Linked DNA regions of Tribolium castaneum. The protein of the gene in region 1 interacts with the protein of each later gene in a pairwise test. Links are inferred from orthologs where the notes say so. Each region holds a gene or a part of one and is shown on either strand. Other genes may lie near its edges.

Region 1 (5,449 bases):
AGACCGGTTTAATTGAAGAAAAATAAAAAGGGCACAAATTGTGGTAAATAAAACAATGAACAGTATTTAATTCATTAATTCATTATGTTTTATACGTATTTTCTCCAAAATATTTTTTTATTAAAATTTATACAATTATTTCTCAATAAATGGCAAGAACAAATCCATTTTTTCAATCAAACAAACTCTAGTTTGATGTAATCTTTGCAATTTTCAATTTTTTAATGGAGAGATTTCACCACAAATTTCAAATCGCCCGCGTTCGGTCAAACCAGCCAATAACATTTCGTTAGCTTGACATCATGCGACATGCGTCAGAAAGACGCTTGTGTTAGAGCGTCGTTTTGTTTTTGCGCGTTGTAGAAGCAGTGTTTTGTGTATTTAGTGCCAAAACGACCAAAATCGAAAGTTCTAGAAGTGCTGGAAGCCGCTTTTGAAAAGGACGTGATGAGCGTTAAGGTTAGTCATTTCACTTAAATTCTGTTTCAAACGAATACGAAATGATAACATAGAACAAAATGCCAACTCCAACACCCTGTATAAATGATTAAACGCCCTTTTTTATCAAAATGTTTGGCACGAGAAGTTCATTTTTGTGCCTATTTTCATTTCTACAACAAAAATAGCACTGACGTCGTTTATGTCTGCCCTTACGTATTCAGTAATAATTAGTAAAAAAGTGTCTCATTTTTCAAATAAAATGAGTGTTAAACAGGCGTTCACACACGTAATCTAGTGGTTCGTCCTTCTGTTGTGTTGAAAACAAATGCAATAATGTTGTAATAAAAATATTTATTTGCGAAAATACGAAGTTATAAAAAATAAAAAATCTACTCATTAATTAAATATACATATCAAATTTCGTTCCTCCACAGATAAAACATGTTAAATATATTTTAATACAATCTGGGGCTCCTTGGGTAATTTATTTGTACTTCTAACGGACGGAAACTGTCTTCAATTATTCTAAAAGAATTAAACAACCCCAAAATGCACCACTTTGATTTTGGGTTGCGCTTCCTCGCTCTCCCTCCTCCTCACAGGGTTAAAATCCTTCAAATAATCCTCATTTGGGTGACAAAGCGGCAAACTATCAGCCAACTCTTTCTGCGGATCGGTGAAATGTGGTGGCGGCGGCGGCCTCGCTGGCCGCTTAATCTCCGGCACGATAAACGCCGTCACCGTATCAGAAAACTTAACTTTCGGGGGCACCTTCTTAACCGCCCCCGTTGAGGGCAGCGGCGGCTTAAACACATTTCTGGGAATCCCCAAATTGGGCAACGGGGGCGCTTTAAAATTCGCCGGCACTTGCGGCGCCTTCACGAAAGTGGCTCTCGGGTAGGTCTTCGGTTGGGGGTTATTGAAGTTAGTTGTGAGGTAATTATCGGGGTTTTCGTCACTACTTCCCGAACATTGGGAGCACGAGGACCTGGTGCAGTTCGAGGCCTCGCTGGAGCAGCGACTCAGGAGGGCCGAGGCCTGGGCGCGGGCGGCAGCCGCCATCTCCGTCTCGCCGATTTGCACCGCGATGTAGTGCAAGTCCATGAAGAGGTCATGGTGCCCTAGGTCCACAGCCAAGAGGAAGGCGGTTTCGAACATTTGGGCGCGGACTAACTGGTGGAAAAAGCGACGAGTGAGCGAGAAAATTTGGGTGAAGAAGCGGGAACGGGTCTCGGGGTTCAGGGGCACCGGGGGGCTGTGGAAGCACCCGAGGGCGTCCTGGAGATACTTGGCGGTGTCGTCGGTCATTGGCTGGGAGAGTAAATAAGCGACGATTTTTTGCAACACGTGGAAACTTTCCTCGTTGAATTCCCAGCTTAGGAGAAGCCGAATGGCTTTATCAATTTTACCCATTTTTATGTAACGTTGTGAGAGAGATTTGAACGATAAAGACCGGTCAATGTGAGTGATGAGTAACATGGGGCCTTGCTCCAAAACCACGACTAAGTCTTTTGGGCCCCAACTCACCGAACTGATCGTAAATTGCGAATTGAAATAACCGGATAAGTCAATTAAAGCTGTTGGGGTGCAATCCTCCCCCATTATTTGTGACTTAACGCCGTTCAAAGCCGTGTCAAAATACTGCAATTGCCCCCTTTCATTCAAAACGGTCACAACAGCTCCCAGAGAATTCCAACGTGCGAACTTTGGTATAAACAACCCTTTAACCGTCCGAGTTGACCCCCTGACACGGTCCAATAACGCCAAAGACCCATCAATACAACCAATCAGGAGCCTAGTTTCCTGCTCATTTAAGGCACAGCAACTGACTTGTGTCTGAAGTGGGACCGAAATGACCGAAACCCGTTTCAAATTGGCCCCAACCAGCTCAAAATTGCTCAACTCGACTGAGACAGCCCCCCTGAGAGTCACCTTCTGTTCGATTACGAACAAAGTTCGGCGTATTGTCCGACTGACGATCACTTCAATGGGATCCCCGTCGGTTTTTTTGTACGCTAAGAGTTCAGGCCCCCGGACGCCCACCCAGTACAGGTGTAGATTAGCCCGTTGGTAGTCCTTGCCAAGGGGGCTCCAAGGCTGCGGGTGTTCGGCCTCGCATTTGCCCCAAACGGCAAGCCAGTCGTTGTGGAAGTTCAGGTGGCGTCGAGGGCCCCCTTCGACAATCCAGCCGTCTTTCCAGGAGCCCCCGAAGCCGAGCACGTGGCCGTCATTACAAATGCAGATGATTTGGGGGCCGAGGATAACACCGTCGCATAATATGTTGACTTGGAGTTTGGTGGCGAGGGATTTGTCGAAAGTGAGGCTTGTGAGGTCGCCTGTGGTGATGTCGATGGTGAGGGTGACGACCACCCCAGTTGAGAGCAGGAGTTGGAGGTGGTTGTCGGACCAAGAGAAACAGACGATTTTGTTGTGGAGGAGATACTCCTATTGAAAGAATGAGTGAGAGTGAAAGGGTGAGTGTGTGAGCTAACCTCGAGTTCTTTGAGACGGTCGCGGAGTTTTTGGGGACGTTTGTTGGGCAAGTGCCAGATGACACCTCGTTGGTCGCAGTACTTTTTTTTGCTTTGGTAGCAGAGGGAGTCGCTGGGATCTTTCTTAGAGTAGTATCTGGAATAAGGGTTTTTAGTTCGCTTTATGGGGTTGTGAGGGGTTTGGGTACTTGAATGATCCAAAATCTGGATGTTTTACGATGACGTCTTCTTGGGTGCTCCAGAAATGGATTTCGCTCAAAAGGGTCAACATTTTACGGCCGATTTTTGATTAAATAGTCACTTTTGCAAAATAAATGCTTCTTTTTGAGTCTCATCACTTCATTAATTCATAAATTAAAAAATTCGAACAATAATAATAATACCGATGTGTAAATTCCCCAAATCAGGGAATTTTGATTTATCACATCAGAGTAGCAAAGTGGTTTCAGTCTACATTTATTTATTATTAAGTGTGCTTGGCCCTATTGTAATTTAAATTTTACTTATGATTATCAAAGAAACATACCGTGAAAACGCAACATAAATTTTAAAAATTCAATTAAACTTCGTTGCATTTTATGTTAGCACACCTGGCTAACGCACTAATTTATAATCTGTCAAAGTGACAGGTAACCTCAAATTATTGGTGTTAAATTAACGAAATTTATTGTGAATATCGCTAATTTGGGGAGAGAACCGAAAAGACCTCCTATGAGGGATTTTGGGGTAAAAAAGACGGGTTAAAATCAGCCGTTTTATTTATTTGAATAAACTAAAGGTACAAATAAATGGTCATAACAATAATAAAATAAAATATGCGCAAACAAGTGTTAAGTTCGTTTGAAAATAAGGAAAAAGTCAAAAGCACACTAATAGTTTGTTAATGGAACACATTTGAACGAAAGTCTAACCTACTAAAAATGTAAATATGGAAAGTATGTCAGAAGACCTATTTTATAAAATTGGAAGACAGGCGCCAAAAAATATTGCCAGTAGTGATTACTGCAATAAAAGTACAAAACGATTTGGCACATAGAACCTTAAAAATACATACCAAAGCCAAGAATATTGGCAAAGCATAGAGTATTATTTACTAGATCAGGCAAAACTGGTATTGCTATAAGATATTTAGAATTCTCACATTCTAAACTAACAAAATCAAGTATCGCACTTATTCATTCAATTTCGGAAGACGGCCAAAAATACAATAAAACTCTTTTTGAAAAGTTGGAGAAATTGAATGATAAGAGTAATAGGAAAATAGCTTTGAAACGCACACACATTTTGAAACATTTATGATTGTTTCGGATCTTTATGTACAATAGGAAGAGCAGTATGTATCACGGGAAATAGAAAAAATATATTTACTCTACCCTACTTTCAATGATTATAAACTCAACTTGTAGCAATAGGAAAATTCTAGATGATTTTTTCTTATTCCCTATCACTGATACACGTTTATTGCTTTTCAATGAAATGACCAGATATCAAACACCAAAATGCCCCAACTCAGGATAAATACAGCGAATTTCAGCGCGGTGGAGCATCTAAGACAAATCAACAGCTTAAATATGGAAATAAATAAATAAAACAACAGAATTAGCTAAAATCAATATACATATAAATTACTTCCCCACTTAATGATTAGTTAGCCTACTTTGGTAACAGTGATAAAATTAATTCATTTAGATAAAATTTCAATCAGCGATAAAATCTTGCGGAAATTACTCCTAGAATAAATTAATATTTGGTGATCAACCTGACGCGAAATGTTACAACAGTTCGGGCTCTGGAGTATTTGAAAAAAAATTAAGTCGGCAACAGAAATAAAATTGCCGTGGAACCGTCATAAATCAAAATTTTCAGTCAGTAACACTTCTAAAACAATCCTAACATAGTTACTCTTCATATTTCATAAATGTAAACAAAAACATAAAATATATTAAAATTACAATAACAGCGTTAGAAGAATTCAACTTAGTTAAAATTACGTTATATTCATCTAATTACCGGGCGTTTGATTACCTATGCTGGTTGATTTCCAGTTCGCGCCGGTGTCTGACCCACTCATCGTTGTTATTACACAACATTTTTGATTTACCTTCTTTTTTCTTCGCTCGCAAAAGGCGCGGTTTGAAGGGCGTCGGTCGCTCGGTTGCCTCGTTATCATTGATGTCGTACTGCGGCGACAGTTTTATTCTTTTGTACGGTTCGTAGTCCGAACTTTGCGAGTTGAACCTCTTCCTTGTCGTTATCCCAGCCAAATTCAGAAGCGTCTCTGCGCCTTCTTTAATCTTGCGCTCCTCCTCGTCCTCAAAGTCGATTTTGCGACACGTGCGACTCTTGACGACCCTAAACGTCCTATAAGAAATTAATGTTTTGCAATTTTCGGAAAAAAAAATTACCTTTCGTCGTCGCTTTCGAACGCTTCGTCCGTGCCTAAGGGATCGACCGAATCGGCGGCACTGTAAGTGTGATCCTGGCTCGGTGAAGTCGTGATGACTTGACAGTAAAGC
Region 2 (4,071 bases), on another chromosome or scaffold:
TTTTAAAATTATGTGTTTAGTGTGTGTAAAGGAAGCATCTCATCATCCAGATTAAAGGAGTTTTGAAGAAATTACGAAGAGAAAGTAAAGGAAAGAGGAAAGAAAAGTCATTCAAAGTGCACGAAAAATTTTCGAGTTCGGGATTTTTAAAATTATGTGTTTAGTGTGTGTAAAGGAAGCATCTCATCATCCAGATTAAAGGAGTTTTGAAGAAATTACGAAGAGAAAGTAAAGGAAAGAGGGAAGAAAAGTTATTCAAAGTGCATGAAAAATTTTCGAGTTCGGGATTTTTAAAATTATGTGTTTAGTGTGTGTAAAGGAAGCATCTCATCATCCAGATTAAAGGAGTTTTGAAGAAATTACGAAGAGAAAGTAAAGGAAAGAGGAAAGAAAAGTCATTCAAAGTGCACGAAAAATTTTCGAGTTCGGGATTTTTAAAATTATGTGTTTAGTGTGTGTAAAGGAAGCATCTCATCATCCAGATTAAAGAAGTTTTGAAAAAATTACGAAGTTAATATTTTATGATAGTGCGTGAATTTTAAAATTTTGAGTGTTTAGTTGAAAAAAAAAATAACCGTGTTTCTAAAATATTATATTTTTTAATTAGAAATTTTGGTCTTTCTTAAGTTTTCATTTGCATATTTGTGCATTGCTTTCTGAAATGAGTATGGGATGGAAATCGGATACCGGAATACAGAAACAGAAACCCTTGTAGGCAAACAGAGAGCAGAGACACTAGTACCGTGGGTACCTCTGTATACCTTTCAAAAAAATTCATGAGACCTTCAATATTTTCAAAATTAATTTTTAAATTACACGAAATTTTCGAAATCTTCACCGTTTTCGAAATTTCGATGCAGAGCTACTCACAAAGCGGAAACGGAAACGGCGGAAACGGGATACAGAAACGAAGTTACCATCACTTGTTTCAATTGAATTTATTTTTTTAAGTTAAAAAGAAAGCCAAGGTTTTTATTTCAACAAATATTTGCAATTTAATTCAATTATTTTGTCTCGGGAGTGTTCGGATAAAGTTAATCAGTACGTAAAATAAATTTTCGAGTTCGGGATTTTTAAAATTATGTGTTTAGTGTGTGTAAAGGAAGCATCACATCATCCAGATTAAAGGAGTTTTAAAAAATTTACTAAGGGAAAGTAAAGGAAAGAGGGAAGCATAGCCAATCATTTCGCGAGGTCTAAATCAATTTTAAAAGCCAACTCGATGATATTTTGTGGAATATTTTCCTGATAACAGACATAGACCTCCCTTGGATGAGGCATATAAAACAGTCTTCCAACGACCCAGTATTTTATGTTACTCTTCTTATTATCGATGTCGTCCAAAAAAGGACATTCAAACATAACGCCATGTTCTTTTATTGCAATCAAACTCTTATTCATCACTGATTTCGCCATGTCTTGCGCTGGCATATTCTATAAAAAAGACATTAAAAAAAAATTAAACTCGCTTGAAGCATACTTTGAATCGCAACGTATTTTGAAACAAAGAATGAAACTTATGACAGGCGTTTCTGAAACAATCGAGAATCGCGTCAATCGTTTGCGACTGGAGCCGACACTCAGGCGGACCAATCAAGATGCCTTCAGTTGCATCAAACTGAATAAAATGGAACAAAACATTGTCTTTCCCGGCCGTCAATTGTCTCGGCTGTATCTCTCCAGTTTCGGACAAAATCGTTTGCCTCAACTCCGATATATCAAAGCTGCTGTTGCTCATCTGACTCCCATCCTGAAATCATCAAACACGAATAAAACAGAAGAAAAACGCCACCCCCACCCCGTAATCATCCGAGTCATCGGAATCGCACCGACTCCTCCTCGACTCGCACTGACTCCCCGAATCCGAATGATCATCCAGGAAAAATGAGCTCGAATTCGTAACATTCTGGTCCGAATTACGCCGCTTCAAAATCGAAGTCACTTCCGGTTTTCTGCCTTCCTTATGTTGCGACACTGATTTGCTCAAAGTGTCCAAGAAATCCGACTTGCGCTTGGTGCACGTTTCGGGGATTGTCACCTGCGGCCCGGGATTTGTCGAAATCCACCGATCGGCAAGCTCGGGGATTCCCAGCTCTTGGATGTGGGCCAAAGTGGCTTGGGCCTCTTCCACGTAAAAAGCGTCCGGGCCCATGTTGTCTTCAGCCGGTTCTGTGCAACCGCCGGCTTCCATTATCACAGCTAAGAGGTCCTGAAAATGAACAATCGAAACAACCGGAGGACTCCAGCCAATGAACGCATGGTAAGAATTCTCTTCCACTGTTTCAGTGCTAGAATGACCAATTTCAGAACGCAGTTTTGGTGACTTTGAAGCCGACAAGTGGACAGGTTGGAAGAAATATGAGAAGAAGTTGAAACCAGTCTAATGTTGAAGTGCGTGAACCGAGTTGGTACCCCCGAAGGCCCCCGAGGACAAAAAATTTAAGTACCCTTTTTAATTTTGTAAATTTTGTTTAATTTTGGTGCCTTTCGATCCTAGCAAATTCTAAAAATTTCTTAAAATTTGAACAAGATAGTATTGCAGCATTCAACTACACAGAAACAAAAATTCATTCATTAATTTATTACACAGTGTCTTTAGCCCGTCGTTGTTCAGATTTTGTTGTTTATTTTCGAGTGCCTAACAGTACATTTACATTAAAATTTTGAGTGTTTAATTGAATAAAAAAAATAACCGTGTTTCTAAAATATTATATGAAATAACTTGAAATAACGATCGGGGCCCCGAAACAATTCTCAGAAAACCTCAGAACAGAGAAAAAGTACACCCTATAAATGGAAGACGTTCAGGAGATTGATAAAATATGTGGGGAGAAAAAGATTAGTTGCAATTATCAGGGAGTCAAGTTAGGGAACTATGAGTTTGCTTGGGAATTTATGTTAATAATGCGCGTATTATTACATAAATGCTCTTGCAACACTCACCAACAACAAGACAAAAAAGTTTAATTTTGAAAAAAAAGGAGCTTTTAATGTATTTAGAGTATTAACCCCACAAAGTTCTTAACACGCAGCGAAAAAAACTAACAAAAAATACTTACAATTAAACCAATATTTTGTTTAATCTTTATTATCTTCGTTAAAGTAGCATTTAAGATTTTTATAAGTGCGAGTTAAGAATAATATGTTAATAATAACTCTTTGTTTTCGGTACGTGGCATCAACCTTGGAACCGATCATCCCCGCATCAGATGAGACCATCTACCCTCCGGGTGTCCGTCAAGTATACAAAGACTTACCAAAAACCTACTTGTTACGGAAAGTGATGTGACTAATGAGTTTTGTTAATACGTTACCTAACTGATTAATATGCTTCACTTTGTGCCTTTTGCGATACCTATGTTTTTTGTTAATGACGATTTATCGATATTGTTACAATATTTATATTGAATAAAATCCCCGAGTGAAAAAAAGTGTTTCATTTTGAAATGAACCCGCACAAATGATTTAAACCCTATCTTAAACAACGCCAAACCAAGGCAGGAGTACAAGAATAAGCGCGACAGTTTCGGATTGCTTGAAACAAAACCAAAATTTTTTGAGAATTAAATAAATAATTATAAATAAAAAAAACAAAAAAATTCTTCTCGAAAGGAACAAAACGCCGTATAAAATAAAATAAAAATAAAATAAGTTGTAACGTACACTCCACAGATACGAGTAGAAGTAGTAGCTACACCTTTATTCTGGTGAAAAATTAATCTAAAAAATTTACAAAGTACTTACTTGGCAAATAATTGCGTTTCTAAAGACAAAAATAACACCATTTTTAAGAAGATTCGGTGATTTTTTGGACTCAGAGTTAATTATCCGATACACATTGTGTAAACTAGTGTTGTTTTCATTTAAAAACATACGGAGAAAATTCTCACCACGCATTCAACCTGTTCGTTACTACTAGCGTTGCAAACGTACTTTCCTGCTCCCCACCAACAGTAAGTATCTTTTACCGTCCGGTATTTTGGCGTTGGTGTTCGCGCTTCGGTTGCAAGAGTGCGGAAAAACCTCCTTCCACAACAGGAGCGTCTTAACCGGTTCGGTTTTGGACAAGTG

The links. The genes of interacting proteins can lie anywhere in the genome.
Region 2: the proteins of frtz (region 1) and in interact in binary tests that used the Drosophila melanogaster proteins (3 or more experiments, as listed by UniProt). The link is inferred for Tribolium castaneum from reciprocal best matches to the Drosophila melanogaster genes frtz and in.

Annotation. Positions count from the first base shown.
Region 1 is NC_087402.1:1,546,360-1,551,808, forward strand, and holds frtz (WD repeat-containing and planar cell polarity effector protein fritz), read right to left. Parts: upstream 3,392-5,449; 5' UTR 3,205-3,391; coding exon 3,122-3,204; intron 3,070-3,121; coding exon 2,934-3,069; intron 2,887-2,933; coding exon 976-2,886; 3' UTR 776-975; downstream 1-775. Other genes in the region: forkhead box protein N3, read right to left, coding at 4,955-5,294, 5,339-5,449. UniProt on the Drosophila melanogaster protein: Probable effector of the planar cell polarity signaling pathway which regulates the septin cytoskeleton in both ciliogenesis and collective cell movements. Functions cell autonomously to regulate wing cell hair polarity and number.
Region 2 is NC_087397.1:2,693,178-2,697,248, forward strand, and holds the end of in (protein inturned), read right to left. Parts: coding exon 3,934-4,071; intron 2,210-3,933; coding exon 1,799-2,209; intron 1,751-1,798; coding exon 1,481-1,750; intron 1,435-1,480; coding exon 1,183-1,434; 3' UTR 923-1,182; downstream 1-922. UniProt on the Drosophila melanogaster protein: Plays a role in the definition of cell polarity via the planar cell polarity (PCP) cascade. Acts downstream of fuz and accumulates asymmetrically in wing cells to regulate planar polarity in the wing. Probably acts by regulating ciliogenesis.